Xenopus tropicalis: one gene and its partners. The protein of the gene in region 3 interacts with the protein of the main gene of each other region in a biochemical or structural test. Links are inferred from orthologs where the notes say so. Each region holds a gene or a part of one and is shown on either strand. Other genes may lie near its edges. The genes, in order: chek1, plk3, cdc25c, cdk1 and pin1.

What was found.
Region 1: of the proteins of cdc25c (region 3) and chek1, one has a biochemical effect on the other in vitro, tested with the Homo sapiens proteins (16 studies listed by BioGRID and IntAct, with this or other methods). The link is inferred for Xenopus tropicalis from reciprocal best matches to the Homo sapiens genes CDC25C and CHEK1.
Region 2: of the proteins of cdc25c (region 3) and plk3, one has a biochemical effect on the other in vitro, tested with the Homo sapiens proteins (2 studies listed by BioGRID, with this or other methods). The link is inferred for Xenopus tropicalis from reciprocal best matches to the Homo sapiens genes CDC25C and PLK3.
Region 4: the proteins of cdc25c (region 3) and cdk1 form a complex in vitro, tested with the Homo sapiens proteins (3 studies listed by BioGRID, with this or other methods). The link is inferred for Xenopus tropicalis from reciprocal best matches to the Homo sapiens genes CDC25C and CDK1.
Region 5: the proteins of cdc25c (region 3) and pin1 interact in a test that uses a peptide from one of them, tested with the Homo sapiens proteins (2 studies listed by BioGRID, with this or other methods). The link is inferred for Xenopus tropicalis from reciprocal best matches to the Homo sapiens genes CDC25C and PIN1.

What each region holds. Positions count from the first base shown.
Region 1 is NC_030683.2:74,049,180-74,052,694, forward strand, and holds part of chek1 (serine/threonine-protein kinase Chk1), read right to left. Parts: intron 3,372-3,515; coding exon 3,276-3,371; intron 3,094-3,275; coding exon 2,994-3,093; intron 2,242-2,993; coding exon 2,058-2,241; intron 81-2,057; coding exon 1-80. UniProt on the Homo sapiens protein: Serine/threonine-protein kinase which is required for checkpoint-mediated cell cycle arrest and activation of DNA repair in response to the presence of DNA damage or unreplicated DNA.
Region 2 is NC_030680.2:90,881,779-90,885,293, forward strand, and holds part of plk3 (serine/threonine-protein kinase PLK3), read right to left. Parts: intron 2,911-3,515; coding exon 2,781-2,910; intron 2,659-2,780; coding exon 2,571-2,658; intron 2,095-2,570; coding exon 1,999-2,094; intron 1,190-1,998; coding exon 991-1,189; intron 903-990; coding exon 776-902; intron 449-775; coding exon 339-448; intron 130-338; coding exon 6-129; intron 1-5. UniProt on the Homo sapiens protein: Serine/threonine-protein kinase involved in cell cycle regulation, response to stress and Golgi disassembly. Polo-like kinases act by binding and phosphorylating proteins that are already phosphorylated on a specific motif recognized by the POLO box domains.
Region 3 is NC_030679.2:47,982,869-47,986,296, forward strand, and holds the end of cdc25c (M-phase inducer phosphatase 3), read right to left. Parts: intron 2,883-3,428; coding exon 2,784-2,882; intron 2,607-2,783; coding exon 2,473-2,606; intron 1,636-2,472; coding exon 1,524-1,635; intron 1,033-1,523; coding exon 892-1,032; 3' UTR 514-891; downstream 1-513. UniProt on the Homo sapiens protein: Functions as a dosage-dependent inducer in mitotic control. Tyrosine protein phosphatase required for progression of the cell cycle. When phosphorylated, highly effective in activating G2 cells into prophase.
Region 4 is NC_030683.2:16,801,152-16,805,404, reverse strand, and holds the start of cdk1 (cyclin-dependent kinase 1), read right to left. Parts: upstream 2,810-4,253; 5' UTR 2,744-2,809; exon of another isoform or gene 2,727-2,743; intron 1,688-2,726; 5' UTR 1,664-1,687; coding exon 1,627-1,663; intron 1-1,626. UniProt on the Homo sapiens protein: Plays a key role in the control of the eukaryotic cell cycle by modulating the centrosome cycle as well as mitotic onset; promotes G2-M transition via association with multiple interphase cyclins.
Region 5 is NC_030679.2:136,780,425-136,784,387, forward strand, and holds the start of pin1 (peptidyl-prolyl cis-trans isomerase NIMA-interacting 1), read right to left. Parts: upstream 2,801-3,963; 5' UTR 2,752-2,800; coding exon 2,694-2,751; exon of another isoform or gene 2,658-2,693; intron 1-2,657. UniProt on the Homo sapiens protein: Peptidyl-prolyl cis/trans isomerase (PPIase) that binds to and isomerizes specific phosphorylated Ser/Thr-Pro (pSer/Thr-Pro) motifs.

The DNA of each region.
Region 1 (3,515 bases), on a different chromosome or scaffold from region 3:
ATCAAATTGCTGTACGAGCTTTCAGCATCCACTTTTGTAAAGAACCTGGTCATTCTTTTGACCAAACGTTGCCAAACATTCTACAGAATTAAGAAAAAAAACTAGGTTGGCAAAAATTGAATAGCACAGGCCATGTTAAAACTGCTAACCATGTAAAGTTGAAACAAATAGCACATGCAAACATCTATTTTCCAGGGCTGTGGAGTCGGTAGATAAATTCTCCGACTCCGACTCCTCAGTTTCTGATACTTCCGACTCCATGACTCTGACTCCTCTGTTTTTAATATGCTAATGTATTTTATACATCCAGGAAGGGGAAGGGGCACTTAAAACACAACTGAACTGATAATAAACTGATAGACAATTTTATCTATACTCCTACTTCTAATGATTTCCCTAGAATCCCATAGTCATGTTTAAAGTTTAAGCTAACATTACAGCTGAATTACAGCAGTTTTTCAAATGTTTTAAAGCTTCAGTCTTAAAGGAACAGTAACACCAAAAAATAAAAGAGCTGTAAAGTAATAAAAATATAATACACTGTTGCCCTGCTACCCTACTATAGTTTATATAAATACCCCGCTGTGTAGCCCCGGGGGCAGCCATTCCTGCACTGGTACAGCTGGGGTGTTTGCTACAGAAACCCTACTATGTCCCCATGGCTACACAGCAGGGTATTTATATAAACTATAGTAGGGTTTCTGTAGCAAACACCCCAGCTGTACCAGTGCAGGAATGGCTGCCCCGGGGCATTTATATAAACTATAGTAGGGTTTCTGTAGCAAACACCCCAGCTGTACCAGTGCAGGAATGGCTGCCCCCGGGGCATTTATATAAACTATAGTAGGGTTTCTGTAGCAAACACCCCAGCTGTACCAGTGCAGGAATGGCTGCCCCCGGGGCTACACCGCGGGGTATTTATATAAACTATAGTAGGGCTTCTGTAGCAAACACCCCAGCTGTACCAGTGCAGGAATGGCTGCCCCCGGGGCTACACAGCGCGGTATTTATATAAACTATAGTAGGGTTACTGTAGCAAACACCCCAGCTGTACCGGTGCAGGAATGGCTGCCCCCATACTACACAGCAGCTTATTTATATAAATTATAGTAGATTTTCTGAAGTAAACACACAGTGCAGAGAAGCAGATTATATTTTAGTTACTTTTATACACTTTCATTTTTTGTTGTTACTGTTCCTTTAAACTATTGACTACCCATTCCCTTCATGTATACAAGTATTTCTAGTCCTGCAAATTTTTTTCACTTAATTAGTTATCAGTGAGAGTTAGGCTGGGTTCACAGTGGGCATTGTGTTCCCAGTAACAGAGGAACACGACGCAGTGGAGCTGCCGCACCTTAACTGTGCGTTACGTCCCATTTAGTGAAGCATACAGTCAATGAAAAGCTTCATGGTCGCTCAACGTGTTCATTTATGCACTGCGTGCATTGGGCTTTATTCTTATAGCAGAGAAGTAATTAATTATGACTGTTTGTGAATTGGGACATTTAAATTTGCTTTATTTTTTTTTATTCCCATTTAAATTTAGTAGGAGTCGGAGTCGGTTCATTTTTTGCCGACTCCGACTCCAGGTACCCAAAATTGCCTCCGACTCAGACTCCACAGCCCTGCTATTTTCTAAACATTTTACACTATACAAACAGTTTTGCCACTGTTAAAAATTTCAAGATGTGACATTCACTTTACAGAGACAAAATTAAAAGCCTTTAAATGAGAAGGAAAAGTAAAAATCCCTGGGGGGGGGGGGGGGGGGGAGTGCCAGATATTAGGCATGATGTAGACCATAGCATTATAGGTGGTTTTAAGCTTTCTGTATGTTGTACATTACCATCCCTTATGCTTTTGCAGCTTCATAAAAAACAAATTACATTTAATTCAGTGCTGAAATCACAATCGAAAATTCAAAAACCAGCAAGCTTTGTTAAACAGAATACCCTATTTAATGGACATACATGGTTTTAATATTTTTCTTAATTTTGCTAAACCAAGAGAAAGAACAACTGTCTAAATATTATTTGTACAGTAATAAGCCATACCTGAGAGGAGCCTGGAGTACCAATTAACTGGCTGCTCAGAAGCATGTTTTCAGGACAGGCAGGCTGAGAGAAGCTGATGCCTTTTCCCTGCACCAAATTGTCTATATGAGAACCATTGCTGTCCCATGTTGCCAGTGCAGTCCGTGGCTCTGGCTGTGTACTAGAATATGCATTCTTCTCTTCACTAATTAGAAGAACAATTACAATTTATTAATTTAAAAAATATCCTCTAAAAAGCATCAAATTCATTAATACATTCATATTGTAAAAAAAGTTATTAATATTTCCTAAACACATGAAAGTCACATATGTGCATAGAGGACAACAAAGCTAAACATTTACTAAACCAAGGAACACTGGTTTTTCTGTCTTGGATAACCCATCATATGCTATGCCAATTCCCAGCTGTTTTTATCTATAAGCATTCTGTTTTTTTCTGTATATAATCAATGCCAATGCATCCTCCTTCCCTATCCTCTGTACTACAACATAGGGCTTTTTTGTTCATGAGCATCACTCCTGTGTTTTGCGCATACCCACTCCTGCCTGACACAGATGTGGCTCATCGACATTTACTACACAACTGCTTGAGATGCCTAAAGCTGATTTAACAATTGAAGTAGAAGATAACAAGGCCAAGGCCATAGGCACATCAAGCGTTGGCTCTGCTGCTCTCAGTTTGCAATTTTTCTGCAGGCTGATAGAAGCAGATTTGCTCCCAATTCCTTTTTTAGAATGATAACATATCTGAAATCTATACCTCTAACTTGACAGAAAATAAGAGCATGTTACTAAAGCTTGAGTAAACTATTGATGAAGGCATCCCTTCATAATTTTTATATAGTTTCATAAATGTTTATATTATGCTGTCTGAAGTATCACTAATCGTTTTACAGTCATAAATAAAAATTTAACTTAATTAACAAGGAAGCTAACCTGTGAGAGATGATTGAAATCTCCATATCTGATCGGATCTGCTTACAAAGCCCAGAAGAATCTGAAGTACCTCCAGAGAAAGCACGGCTTCTCTTAATCCCTATTTAGGAAAGCACAATTTTATAATAATGCAGTAAGTAGCATTACGTCATGACAACAGTACATGTTAAAATACAAGTAATTTTGGACAAACTATGTTAAAAGCATGCAGTACATAATACTGGTATGCAATACAGTGCCCAAAACTATCTATGTTAGAGTATAGAAATACCAGCAACAAACCTTTCTTGATTAATTCTGTGAACCAACGGTCCTTCTTTATGTCTGGAATGGTGATTCTGCTTTGTGGATTTTCTGTTAACATTTTACACAGCAATGCTATAAAAAAAAAAAAAAAAAAGTATAGACATTGGTCATGGCCATACAATGGACTACAATTAAAATTAAATTTGCAACTAAAGAATTAGTATGTAACATTTTAATCTAATTCCTAAATTCTTCTGATTTGTGTGCATGTGTGGC
Region 2 (3,515 bases), on a different chromosome or scaffold from region 3:
CTTACCATCACTACTGCTGACCAAACTGCCACGGATAGAACGTGACACAGATTTCCCAGAAGCTTCTTCTGTCAAAGTGTCCACAGGACTGGAGTTGGCACTTACAGCATGACTAGTTACTGGGGCAACCTAATTACAAAGAGCATAGAAAACATGCGTAAGGGTGGGGCTTTCCACATTACTCAAAACTATACAGGACAAACTATTTTTTGATAAGCCAGTTGCCTTCCTTTGGGATTATAGTTGATATTTTTATTGTTAGGTAGGAAATTTTCCAAATCTTTTCTAATCTAGTACCCAGGGACTCCAACTTTATTACCAAATACATGTCAGTTTACCTCATTCCCATCCACAGTCTTATAACTCAGCTGTCTGCAGATGGACGTTTTAACCAGTCCTGTGACTATCTTAGAAATATCATCTTTCTCCTCAGTGGGACTTTTCTTTGCTGCAAAAATAAAAAAAACCACAATAATAAGAAAGTGTCCACAAGCCTCCTGACTGTCAAGAAAACCTGTGCATTTCTTTTTAACCACTTCACCGCAAATTCAAATATTTGTGTTTTCTAGACTTCTGAAGGACACACCTATAGTAATCCCGTCCTTCAGTTCAGTGTCCTAAGTTTAAACATGACCTAGTTTGTTACCTAAAACAAATTCACCATAAAGGGACAAAGACCGTTCAGACTACTGCACATTTATCTATGTCAATAGTTATCTGCAGTCTACATGATAATACATAAAAAAAAAAAAAAGTGATAATAGTAAATACATACTTTTTGATTTGGTTTTGCCAAACAAGCTTTTGGCAACTTTAGTGAAGAGGCTCTTTGCAGGATTGGGAGGATGTAGGTCAGGGACCATCACACAGCTGCTTGGGGGAAGCTTGTCTGGAGTATAACCCTTAAACAAATAAATAAGTTTGAAATATGGTTAACCGCTTTCTCATTGCAATAAATGTGACTTCTATTCCACTGCTATCAGACAATACCTTTGTGAAGAATTCATGTTCTAGAATCTGGTCAAGTGTAAGTCGCTCTCCAGGGGTGCGTTTTAGGATTCCCATGAGAAGGTGTTTGGCAGCAGAGGACAGACATGCTGGTAAGGTATATTTCACCTGTTTGATACAGCGGTAGGTCTCCTTTAGATCTGAGGTCTCAAACGGTGGAGTGCCACAGAGCAAGGTATACCTAAAAGCAGTAACAATACATGTAAAAGTTTGCCACATTAAGAGTAAAGCATCAATAGTCTAAAGGTTTTGCACATTGGCATTATTGGTAAAATAAAAACCAAGGTTGAAAAGAAAATGGGCGATTCACAAGTGGAACAAAGTTGCAATTGCATTCTGGTTTCCCTGTGCAAAATAAATTTGCTCACACCACTGTACTGGTGTACAACCGTGAAAGTTAGCTGCACTGCAACCATAAAAAGTATAATACATGGCACTAAATGCATAATAGTTGTGCAAGACTCCACCTACGCCTTAGGCAATGGGTCTTAGAATGGTTTTAGCCCCACAAACAGCAGAAAGAACTTTCCATGTCTCTCCTGTTATGCTCTATGAGTGTCACTTGTCCGATTGCACTAGCACATGAGAGATTTTCACCAGAGAAGCATAGATTGCAGCTAATGGTCTTTTTAAAAAAAGTGCCAATTGAGCATTTAGGCCAAGTCTTTGGCCCTACTAAAAAACAGCAGGCAACACAATTGAAACTGCCCCATGTGCCATTGCCCCAAGGGCACAATTAGAAAAACTACTTGTTTTCCTATAAAACCATATTTGGCAGTCATGCAAAGCAAAAGGAACCAAAAAAATATAAAATGCCAAGGTGTAGTAATTGGGGGAAGATTTGGATGAATGATTGCTTGCTGTTCAGGATAGTCCCAAAAGGATATTAAACATAAGCCCCATTACTCTTCAAATGCCAATAGCAAGCTTGCACTTTAAAAGGGTACAGTGACAGGAACAAACAAAAAAAAAACACACACAACAACTTACATGACACATCCTAGAGACCATATGTCAGATTCAGGTCCATGCCCCTGCCTGTAAAGAACTTCAGGTGCCAAGTAGTTTGGTGTTCCACATATGGTCCTTTTTTAAAAAAACAAAACACACACATTATAAAGTCAGTTAGATATGAACTCTTAGGATAATGTCCCACGATAGATATCTGCTACCACGGTCAACTAATCTCTCCGAAATACCATTCCACCAGCAACAACTGGAATCGCCCCTTTGTTGCCAGTGGAATGGCATTTCAGAGAGATTAGTCGCCCACAGTAGCAGAGATCTATCGTGGACAACAATATCTCTGTGGGACACAAGTGATCAAGACCATCTAGGTACATTAAGCTAATCACTGGAGTTTTGTTAACTTTACTGCACACTGCATACTTAGAGCCTGAAAAGAATGCATTGTTCAAGCAAGAATTTTGGCAAGCTTACAGAAGACTTCACAACCTCACTAATCATTCACCCAATAAAAATATATTCTAAATATCTTTTAACTACCAGCAGTGTTTGAGAGCCAAATGCAAAAAAAAAAATAAATAAAAATTTTTTTTTACTTCTTTCTCTGCTCAGGGGGCTCCAAACGGGCAGCTAATCCGAAGTCACCAACTTTTAGTTCCATGCTCTCATTGATGAAGAAATTACCTGTATCAAAAAAAAATGATGACTTTTAGTCAGGTATTCCAAATGCATTAATTATATATTATATATAATATATTTCTCATTATATATAAGAGAAATGTATGTATTTTAAAAGGTCTGCGTACCTAGTTTCAAGTCTCTGTGCAGGATGCCTTTAAGGTGCAGATACTTCAACCCAGAAATGATCTGCTTCAAAAAATACCGCACTTCTGGTTCCAGTAGTGTGTGCCGGGCTTTCCAGATGTGGGCAAGAGACTAAACAGGAGCAAACCATTTTGAACAGTTAATAGCATGGGAAAAAAAAAAAAAAAAAAGCAGCTAGAATTTACATAAAAAGGCAACCCTCAGGATAAGAATGTTCCCACTCAGGGAATAAATAAAACTACCAATAACTCCTCAAACTGAACATAGTCCTTTAGATTTAATAAAGCGATTACTAGCACCATATCAAAATATATGGGAATCTTTAGAAAACTACATTAAGAAAATCCCAAAAAAAAAAAAAAAAAAAATAGGGGCAGAGCAGCTGGTTGTCATTTTTTTGGAAGCCAGACTACATATTCTGTTTAGGTTTAAGACAGCTTCTCTATTAAGGGGTATATTTATCATGCTGTGTAAAAAGTGGAGTAAAACATCATCGGTGATGTTGCTCATAGCAGCCAATCAGATGCGTTGCCTTGATTTTCTAACTGTTGAAATCTAATTGCCGATTGGGCAACATCACCGGTAATGCTTTACTCCACTTTTTACACAGCATGATAACTATAGCCCTTTAGTAAGCTACCGGTCATGGCTTAGAAAAAAAAAAAAAAAAAAAAAAAAAAAAACACAAGGGTTTAAATGCCTTACCTCTCATTTGA
Region 3 (3,428 bases):
AAAAAAAAAAAAAAATCTTCCTACCTAACTCAATCCAAACTGAATTAATTTTTACAAAAAATGGATGCAGTCAAACCGTCATAATTTCAATCAAAGGTACTTATACCCAAATCCACTCCTTGGACTTCATCTTAGTTTCACTCTGAAATGTTGATGCAGCATAGTTGCACCTAAAGGATCATGAAGTCTTTGAAACACTGAACGCTCAAAGCGATACCGGCCCCAAAATTATTCGCCTTCACTGCATCCAATTCGCAGTGAAGCATAATTGCACATGTTTTAATTCTTCAGTAGCAGTTACTGAAATTATATGAAAGACACTGCATTGTGAGTGAAAAAATGTCACACTGCATCCAAAAGTTCCCCTAACCTAGAGAATCCCAGATACCTGCGGTTGGCACTGGATGGCAGAATTGCACCATGGAACCATTTGGTGGCAGGATTTACATTCAGGAGCTGTGCTCATTTCTTCTTGCATTAGGTGTTGATCCAATAATGAGACATAAGACCACGTATTTTTCAAATAATCCATTGATTTACTATGTTTATCCTTGAAGATTGATTGCACTGGCTCACTTCCATTTTAACGCCCATTCAATGATTGGAGTGCCAGTCACACTAATGTCTTTATAAAGTGTACAATGCATTGATAAATATACAGCACCACCTAGTGAACTAATTCATACAAGAACTCCCAGCAATTAGCAGTACAGGTACCTTTTCATCACTTACTTTCTTACATACTGTTATTAAAGAGATCACAGTAAAAAAAATAAAAAGAAATTCACAGTGACAAAGATGTAAACAAGGTAATTTTTTGTCAACTTGTAGCAGTCTTGATGGTTGTAGTATAGGAAAATTAAAATTTTACGGAGTTTAGCAGCCCTGAGATTAAAGCTTCATCAGGCGGGCAATCTGTTCCCTTCTCTTTCTATCACCAACTGATGTCTTACATTTTGTCCGAAATTTCAGAAGCTCCTCCCGGAAATCCTGATGGTGCATTGGGCAGTAGCCCTGTGGCTCACATAGCTCCTGTTGGAGGGAAATCAAATATGACTCCTTTACTTAGAAAACAAAGAAGCTGGTATTCTTGAAGCAAACTGTCTTTTTCCAATTCAGTCAGTTTACATTAAGCTTGTATGACATTATTCTACCAGTGGCTCCAACAGTGGGGCTGCACCCACCCCAAGGGGTGCTTTAAAGGAATGGAATTGGGGAGGATGCCTATTTGCTCTCCTAGATAAATCTGAAACCCCAGGTTGAAGGCCAGTTAAGGTAAATATGTATATGCAGTTTGTGATATTATTGAAATTATGACTGAATAACTAACAATAGTTAGTTGAGGTATACATTTGTATAATTTCTACCAAGCCCAATAACACCTGGTTATTCTGTGACCCAGTGCAACAATGCTGACTTCTAGCAGTTAACACTACTGGTGGTATGCTAATAATGTATAAAAAAAAAAATACACCACTAAACTCAATAAATTGTATACAGACAGTAACAAAACACACTAGTACCTTGTATTCAGGAAAAAAATCCTTGTAACCGCCTTTAAGGAGATAAAGCTCTGGGTAATACAAGCCTGGGTACTCATTCCTGGCTCTGTCTTCCTCCCTAAGGAAGCGACACCTAAAATAAAACATTGAAAGAACTGACAGAAGCATGAGAGTGGAGACTCTCTGATACGTCTTTTACTAGATCATATTTACATTCAGTGACATTTATATGGTACACAAACCCACTCATTGTGTTGATAAGAGTCTTGATTGCTGGTTGCTAACAAGGCTCCTATACAAAAATGGTTTTCTAATTTTACATTATATTTAGGGGCAGATTTATTGCCCCTCGCTCTTTTTCCAAAAAACACAAGGCTCTGTCTTTACAAATCAGAAGCAAATTCTGGTGTTCAGAATACTGAATTCTTCCATTCAAAGGAAAGAATGGATTATGATGGTGGGGAAGGGCATGAATTTTGCTAGATTTTGGCCCAGAAACATTCATGCGTTTTTCTGGAGAAAATCTGCCAATCACCACTAGGCGACACTTCACACATGCTGTGATCCTAATGAAATGTTGCTTGCTCCCCTGAAATGTTGATGCACAGATGGTCACAATAAATGGGGAAAGCCCCCTGACTGCATAAAAATAGATTGTGTGCGGCTCCTTTTAGTATGTAGTGCAGTAAATTGTGGATTGTGTGGCTATAACTTGTATAGAAAACAGACCCTTCCTTGGCCATATGTCCTGAAAAATCATATGAAACCTGGTTTGTAGCACTTACTGCTTGCTCCACCTGGTGATCATATTGATAAGTTATATAGTCATCATATACAGTCAGCAGAAAAAAAACTAATGTCCCTCTTATGGATTTCTGAAAATAGAAATCCCAGTTTATTTGCTTTAAGAGGCTGACTATGGAGTCGTGTTCAGAATTCCACTACTTATCCAAACTTTATGAATACTTACATTTTTGGGCCTCTTTCAGAAGAGAACTCGCAATGAAAAACTATAATTAATCGCTTCTGTGCCACCGATGGAGCCAGAGGTTGTTTCAGGAAGTAGTCAGTTACTTCCTCTTGCCGGTGGAGGTTTAATGCACCCTTGTGACACCAAAATAAGAGTATTAGTTGCAGGGAAATGTTGCGAGAAATAAATAAAAAAGGAAATAAAACCACAGACTTTCTTCTAAAAGGAAAAAAAAGAGTGAGCCAAGTAGAAGAGGAACAAACAGAAGATTCAGGTTTACTATCATCAGCCACCAACTATCATCAGCTCACCTTGATGTGCCCGCCGTCATATTCATAAGGATAACGACAATCTATTATAAAGACATTCTCCACTAAACTGCTGAAGTCTCCATGAATTAAGGCTGCCAGCTGCAGAGTGAAAACTTAGTGCTTAGTGGAATTAGAAAAAATAAAACAAAAAAAAAAAAAGCCCACAGTAATCCCTACAATCCTCCTATTTAGGACATACGTTAGTGCTTTGTCTAAATCTTCGTGCAGTACATAAAAATTCACCTTGTGCACCTCCAGCAGGGCTAAAACTCCCTGTATGCTAGAAATGCTCAAAGCTATCACATATGCTGGGAGTCATAACCATCCCTACCCAATGTGTAGCTTAATTCAGCTTTACATTCTATGTTTATAAGTACAGGTATAGGACATATTATCCAGAATGCTCGAGACCAATGTTATTCCGGATAAGGGGTCTTTCCTTAATTTGGATCTCCTTACCTTAAGTCTACAAAAAAACATTAATTAAACCCTATAGGATTGTTTTGCATCCAATAAGGATTCATTATATCTTAGTTGGGATCAATTATAAGGTACTGCTTTTTTACTACAGAGAAAAAGGAAATCAGTTTTATTCTGAATTATTTGATTAAAATGGAGTCTATGGGAGACAGGCTTTCTGTAATT
Region 4 (4,253 bases), on a different chromosome or scaffold from region 3:
GGCAGAACAGCCCTATTGGGTTTATTTCATGGTTAAATGATTCCCTTTTCTCTGTAATAAGAAAACAGTACCTGTACTTGATCCCAACTAAGATATAATTACCCCTTATTGGGGGCAGAACAGCCCTATTGGGTTTATTTCATGGTTAAATGATTCCTTTTTCTCTGTAATAATAAAACAGTACCTGTACTTGATCCCAACTAAGATATAATTACCCCTTATTGGGGGCAGAACAGCCCTATTGGGTTTATTTAATGGTTAAATGATTCCCTTTTCTCTGTAATAATAAAACAGTACCTGTACTTGATCCCAACTAAGATATAATTACCCCTTATTGGGGGCAGAACATCCCTATTGGGTTTATTTCATGGTTAAATGATTCCCTTTTCTCTGTAATAATAATAAAACAGTATCTAGTATTGGGTTTATTTAATATTTAAATGATTTTTAGCAGATTTAAGTCATGGATAGGCCCTTATCCGGAAAACCTCAGGTCCCGAGCATTCTGGATAACAGGTCCCATACCCTAACTATGGTTAGCATTCAATTTGGGGGAACAGGGCAAGCTGCTATGGTGCATCAGGAGATTAGGAAGTAAAGGGCAACTGCTGTTCCTACACTTCCTGCTGTGTAAGCCCCCTAGCCCAGCGCCCTTCCTTTGGGCCTGAAGTGCCAGTACGCTTTCAAGCCAAGTACAGATACAAGGCAATGCAGAAAATGGAGAGTGGGGGGGACAGAAACCCATGAACTGTAGGAGCTTTACCCAGACAAGGCAAGGAATATACAAAAAACACACACCTACAATTAAAATAAATCATGGACTACATAGTTAGAGATCACGTCACAACCCCCGAATGTAAAAAATGAGCCAGCTGGGCACCCTGGTTGGCACCAAATATGCTCAGAATGCATGTTGTTCAGGCTGGACATAGATCCCTAATTATTTCTCACCAACATCATTGGCAAAATAAATTTAGATTCCATATGTCCCATGAAAAAAGCCCAGTGTGTATTTCGCCCTTTCAGGCTTCCTTGGCAGCACTTTGAGAAATGGGCAAGGAAAATGCCCATTTATATCCATTTTCTGTATATGACCCTGGGAGGTTCCCACACCTTTTGGGTTGACCCGGTATATAGCTTAGTACATATTGAGTGCATCAGGATATTGGGCGATTCTTCTCTTTATAGCTAGGCAATCTAGACAAAGAGGGTAATAAGGGGATGAACAGGGGCCTTTGTTGGATTGTACTAGTGCAGAGATAGAGAAACTAGAGCAGGGGGCTGCAGTTCTATAGCTGAGTAAGGGCACTGCAGGCCTCTGCTTTAGTACAAACTAATGTGGCTTTAGTTTCCCTTTAATGCCATTGATCTCCCTGACACTGAGTAAATCTGGTATAGACTGGCCATGTATATGCCAAATTCCCTACATAACTACAGAGCTGTGCCCCTTGCAGATTGTAAAGCACATCAATAGGCAAACTGGTTTGAGGACCCCCAGCCTCGCACATCAAGGCTTTAACTGTCCCTTTAACTGTCCGAACTGCAGAAGAATAATTAACAGAGTTCCCCCCCCCCCAAGGAGAAAAGTGCAGCACAACAATCATAACAGAATTCCCCTGTACTTACCCTCTCCGATCTTTTCTATTTTAGTGTACTCGTCCATGGCTGGTTCCTCAAGGCTGGATTCCTGCACAGAGGAGAAATAGAGATCACTCGTTTCAGGGATATCAGAAAAACAAACACATAACTAAAGCGCTGTCTGAGCCTATAGATATATATTTGTACTAGTAAAACAAACAGAAGCAGCCATTACAGTCCTAGTGATATACAAACTGTAGTTAAGCGGCGCCCCTCGGTGGCTGGGTTCTAATCAGAATAAGCAGCATTTCTGGTGCCCTACACATACGTGACAGCTGCCCCTGTGCTTTATACAGTATAATATACATCTGCTACTGTACAATAGCCCTTTAAGCTGCGGCAGCTGCCATACTGCTGTTCGGTGCATCATTCGAACGTTTCATCGTGACCAATCCCCGGCAGCCTTGCCTTACACTGCACCTCTGTTTGTTTCCAGTCTGGTCACTATTATGCCCTGTCCCCATCACATTACAATGGGACCCTGGCTTCCTACCCCCCTGCCGCCTTAGTAACCCAATATACATTATGGCACCAACCCCATAGTAACAGGCAGCAGAACAGCCCTATGCTGGGTGCCTAATATAAAGCTGTCAAACCTGCTGCTGAACTGCACCTCTATCCCCAGATATGATTAAGCAGTTGCAGTTAGAGTCTCATAATCCTGCTGTTGTTGAACTATAACTAGCAGCTCTGTAAGTCTATGGCTGGCAGTTGTGACTCCCCCAGCCCTTTTCTGCACCTTAACTAGTTACTAGCCAGCCCTACAGCAATAGCACTTAAGCTTAGGTGCCCAGATATGGACTACAAGTCCCAGCATCCCCCACAAACACAATCAATGCAGTCTGCAAGCTCAGCCGATGGAATTGAAATGTCTGGAGATTTAAAGGGCCTGAGGGGGCAGATCTAATGAGTGACAGCCCCTGCATGATTACACAGGGGGCAATTAAATGGCTGTAATCAGACAGGTGCGTCCATCTCCGACCCCTGAGTCCCTGTGTAGGGTGATACTCGGCACCCATAGCACGTACTCTGCAGCCAGGGCAAGCAAAATGCAGAAAAGTACCCCCTACAGCCCTTTCCCCCCTTACCTGCCCCAGCAGCTTACCCAGCAAACCCTCCGGCAGAACAAAGCCCCCCGTTTAACTCCCAGAGCCCAAGAGGCCTTTCCCCCTCGCCTACCTCAGCTTCCTTCTGCTAAAGCTGCAGCTTGCCTAACAGAGAGATTTCAAACCAACCGCGCAAAGCGCTGTCCAAGCCTAACCCAATCACTGCGGCCGTGGATATTCAAAGCGGCCAATAAGAATCAGGCAGCGGTGACGGCGCGAAGGAAGCTGGGAAGGGCGGGTAGCTAAAACAGCAGCGGGCGGGGACGTGATGTGGATAAAATCCTAGAGACCTGTTTGCGTGACTCGGCTAGGAACAGAAGTGGTCGGGCGGCTAGCTTTGTATACTGATTTAATCTAATATCCGGGAAGTGCAGTGTCTATAGCGGCACAGGGATTTCACTCAATAACAAATAAAGTAGTAAAACATAAGGTAAAAGGGGGTCCCTTAGGGTGGAGACACACAGAGCTACTAGTAGGAGCTACTTTGTCATGGGTACTATATACCAGAAAATACACTGCCATAGACAATACTGAGAATTGCCTCTGCTAAAACACACACACACATATATATATATATATATATATATATATAGAAATAATTATCAATAAATGATCTGCATTGTCTATTTTAGTAGCTGTGGCAAGTAGCTGCTACTAGTAGCTCTGTGTGTCTGACCTGAAACCTCAGTAAACTACAACTCCCAGCAACCCCCACAAAGCATTTGGCTATTAGAGGGCTTCAGCAAGAGCCGGAGGGCAGCAGAGTAGGCATATGTGTTACAAAATATAATTCCTGTGTGCCCACATGCACCCCCTTGGCCATTCTGATTAGTGATCAGGGTTCTCCCATGGGTTGGGAGAACATTGCTGGGTTGGGTGCAGGTCGTGGGCAGGGCGAGATGTGGGTGCAGGTCAACATTTTGCAGGTTAGGGCCAATTCACCCTATATGGGACAGTGCTAAAGATCTCCAGGGCTGTGGGATACAATAGCGTCACTGTACTCAAGAAATAGTAGCTAGGGTTTCCATCTGGCCATTCACTGGAGCACTGGTGGGCTCCAGTGAATATCACTTTATTAGCTGTAAAGAGGACCACAGGAATTCACACTAACAACAGCAGGGGCTGTTCCTGCTGAATTGTGCTTAGTACAGGGGAATCCCTATGCTGCCATAGTTTTATGGTATCTCTCTGTACAGGCTATGAGCAAACTTAGGGGGCTGTTCCTGCTGAATTGTGCTTAGTACAGGGGAATCCCTATGCTGCCATAGTTTTATGGTATCTCTCTGTACAGGCTATGAGCAAACTTAGGGGGCTGTTCCTGCTGAATTGTGCTTAGTACAGGGGAATCCCTATGCTGCCATAGTTTTATGGTATCTCTCTGTATAGGCTTTGAGCAAATTTAAGGGGCTGTTCCTGCTGAATTGTGCTTAGTACAGGGTAATCCCTATGCTGCATAGTTTTATAGTATCTCTCTGTACAGGCTATGAGCAAACTTAGGGGGCGGTTCCT
Region 5 (3,963 bases), about 89 Mb from region 3:
GACAGCTATATTGATTATAAAGTACAGCAAGAGTATCTAGTACACAGGCAGTAAAGTAAAGCCAAAGTTTGCTATGTCAAAAGAACATTTATTCCCTGCTTACGTCTATACTCACAAGCAGCCATAACTGGGTATAAAAAAAAAAGCAGGAGAATTCATAGCATAGCGTTACTCATACATTAACATATCTGCTCATTTGATCTGAGCCAGATCGGATTGTTCAGATTGACTGGCTTCTGGGCCAATAAAAAGCAGATTCTAAAATGGCCCTATGCAGACCCATTAGTCAAGGACAACATAAACGCACTAATTCAGTTCTCGTCACCATACATGCATTTATGTATAATTTTTTTGTAAATAGTGCTACTTATGAATGCAGCACTGTACATGGGCCAATAAGCTGCAAACGATCTCTCCCTACTATTATCCCCCCACCGCTACTATAGGCACCATCTCTCCCTACTATACCTGCTATCCCACAGCCCCAGTCCCTTCCCAGAGGCTATTATCCCCCCACTGCTACTATAGGCACCATCTCTCCCTACTATACCTGCTATCCCACAGCCCCAGTCCCTTCCCAGAGGCTATTATCCCCCCACTGCTACTATAGGCACCATCTCTCCCTACTATACCTGCTATCCCACAGCCCCAGTCCCTTCCCAGAGGCTATTATCCCCCCCCCCCACTGCTACTATAGGCACCATCTCTCCCTACTATACCTGCTATCCCACAGCCCCTTCCCAGAGGCTATTATCCCCCCACTGCTACTATAGGCACCATCTCTCCCTACTATACCTGCTATCCCACAGCCACAGTCCCTTCCCAGAGGCTATTATCCCCCCACTGCTACTATAAGCACCATCTCTCCCTACTATTCCTGCTATCCCACAGCCCCAGTCCCTTCCCAGAGGCTATTATCCCACTGCTACTATAGGCACCATCTCTCCCTACTATACCTGCTATCCCACAGCCCCAGTCCCTTCCCAGAGGCTCTCTCTCCCTACTATATCTGCTATCCCACAGCCCCAGTCCCTTCCCAGAGGCTATTATCCCCCACTGCTACTATAGGCACCATCTCTCCCTACTATACCTGCTATCCCACAGCCACAGTCCCTTCCCAGAGGCTATTATCCCCCCACTGCTACTATAAGCACCATCTCTCCCTACTATTCCTGCTATCCCACAGCCCCAGTCCCTTCCCAGAGGCTATTATCCCACTGCTACTATAGGCACCATCTCTCCCTACTATACCTGCTATCCCACAGCCACAGTCCCTTCCCAGAGGCTATTATCCCCCCACTGCTACTATAAGCACCATCTCTCCCTACTATTCCTGCTATCCCACAGCCCCAGTCCCTTCCCAGAGGCTATTATCCCACTGCTACTATAGGCACCGTCTCTCCCTACTATACCTGCTATCCCACAGCCCCAGTCCCTTCCCAGAGGCTCTCTCTCCCTACTATACCTGCTATCCCACAGCCCCAGTCCCTTTCCAGAGGCTATTATCCCCCCACTGCTACTATAGGCACCATCTCTCCCTACTATACCTGCTATCCCACAGCCCCAGTCCCTTCCCAGAGGCTCTCTCTCCCTACTATACCTGCTATCCCACAGCCCCAGTCCCTTCCCAGAGGCTCTCTCTCCCTACTATACCTGCTATCCCACAGCCCCAGTCCCTTCCCAGAGGCTATTACCCCCCCCACTGCTACTATAGGCACCATCTCTCCCTACTATACCTGCTATCCCACAGCCCCAGTCCCTTCCCAGAGGCTATTACCCCCCCACTGCTACTATAGGCACCATCTCTCCCTACTATACCTGCTATCCCACAGCCCCAGTCCCTTCCCAGAGGCTATTACCCCCCCACTGCTACTATAGGCACCATCTCTCCCTACTATACCTGCTATCCCACAGCCCCAGTCCCTTCCCAGAGTCTATTATCCCCCCCACTGCTACTATAGGCACCATCTCTCCCTACTATACCTGCTATCCCACAGCCCCAGTCCCTTCCCAGAGGCTATTATCGCCCCACTGCTACTATAGGCACCATCTCTCCCTACTATACCTGCTATCCCACAGCCCCAGTCCCTTCCCAGAGGCTATTACCCCCCACTGCTACTATAGGCACCATCTCTCCCTACTATACCTGCTATCCCACAGCCCCAGTCCCTTCCCAGAGGCTATTATCCCCCCACTGCTACTATAGGCACCATCTCTCCCTACTATACCACGGCCCTTTCCCAGGGGCCACTGTACTAATTTAGGCCCCACTAAGGATCTCTGAAGGGCCTTGCCTGCTTGGCTCCTGACTGAAGACCATTCCCGAGCAGGATACATACAATACATAGCCACAAGGCACCATGTTAATCACAGACACATCAGCATCTAAGCAGGAACAGATCGAACTCTGACACAAATGACACTGAACAGATAGGTGCAGATACTAGGGCACCAGTCATGGCCCCATACAGTAGCAGAAGCAGTCAATGCTTAGCATTTCTTAGTCTGTTTACAGGCGACTAAATACTATAATGCGCAATGCAAAGTGGGAATTGTAGTTCTGCAGCTTTGCAACAGCACCTTTATCAGGACGCTATGCACAGTGCAAGACACAATAAAATAGGAACAGCTACAAAGCAAACCAGCGCTGCACTAACTCTATATAACAACTGTGCCCGCTACACTCCATATACCCGAGCTTCGACTCATGCGCTTCTCCCACCCGGGCGGTAGCTTCTCCTCGTCCGCCATCTTTCCCTCCTGCGTCAGGCCAAGCCCCGCCTACACAAACCACTCCGTCAGCTCGGCGCTTCTCATTGGTTAAGTCCCTGCTAAGCTTTTAGCCATTAAGCTAACTAATCTGCCGACGACGTAGTCAGCCTGAAAACCGAAAGCAAGGGCGGGAAATGATATGCGCCCACTATTGGCTGTAACGGAATAAACGGAGTAATTAATAAAACAAGGGGCGGGGCTGAGAGGTTGTACGCATTGGCAGCAGTATGACGCATGCGCAGAAATGTGTTCGCGTCTCTCTCTATTCTTACGCATTAAAATTGCTCTCACAAGCATGGGTGGCAGGTTAGCGGTTTTTCTGCCAAATTGGGCTACTAATTTAAAGCCCTGGTTTGTTTTTAAATTACAAACCCGCCAAAGTACCGTTTTGGACTAGTTTTTGGAGCCTTGGCGGGTTTGTAGTTTGGAACCTAGCCAGTTTTTTCCCCTAGTGTGCTTGTTCCACTGCATGCTGGGTAATGTAGTTTGTAGCTAACAATTAGCCTACAACTAGGAGTAATATAAAACTACAATACCCAGCTTGCAATTGGGCAGTTTAGCCAGAGGCTCCGTTTTCTATTCCTTTTTGCTCTTTCAGGCTCAACCTGTATGTTCTGCTCCCTGCTCTATAGGGTATGTGATGTGGGGGCAGGTCTGTAGTTATCTTGGGGCTGCTGAGAGTTGTAGTTGAACGCACCCATATTTATAAGTCTGGGGTTAATGCAAGATTCTGAATCTATTTCTGTAGCGACTTCCCAGCTGGACTGGGCACAGAGGGCAGGGAATTATCAGCCATTCCAGTAACTGGGTAGTGATTATATGCTTTAAAAAGGCAGGTTTTCCCATATGTACTTTTATTTTTGTAGAATTTTTTTCATTGCACATTGGGCTATTTTTGGGTTACTTTCAAAGTGGGTTTGGACTAGTATTTCACTGGTTTTAGAACTGACTGGCGATTTGGAAAAATAAATCTGGCAATTTCACATACAACCTTCCCTGGTGGTCTAGTGGTTAGGATTCGGCGCTCTCACCGCCGCGGCCCGGGTTCGATTCCCGGTCAGGGAAAGTGTGTTTTGCTTAATTGTAACAACAGCCCTTTATTTTATTGCTCAATCGTTTTTATAACAGCAGCCATTATTAAAAAAAAGCTTGCCAGCTTTATATATAATATAGAATAAAATAAAGATGATA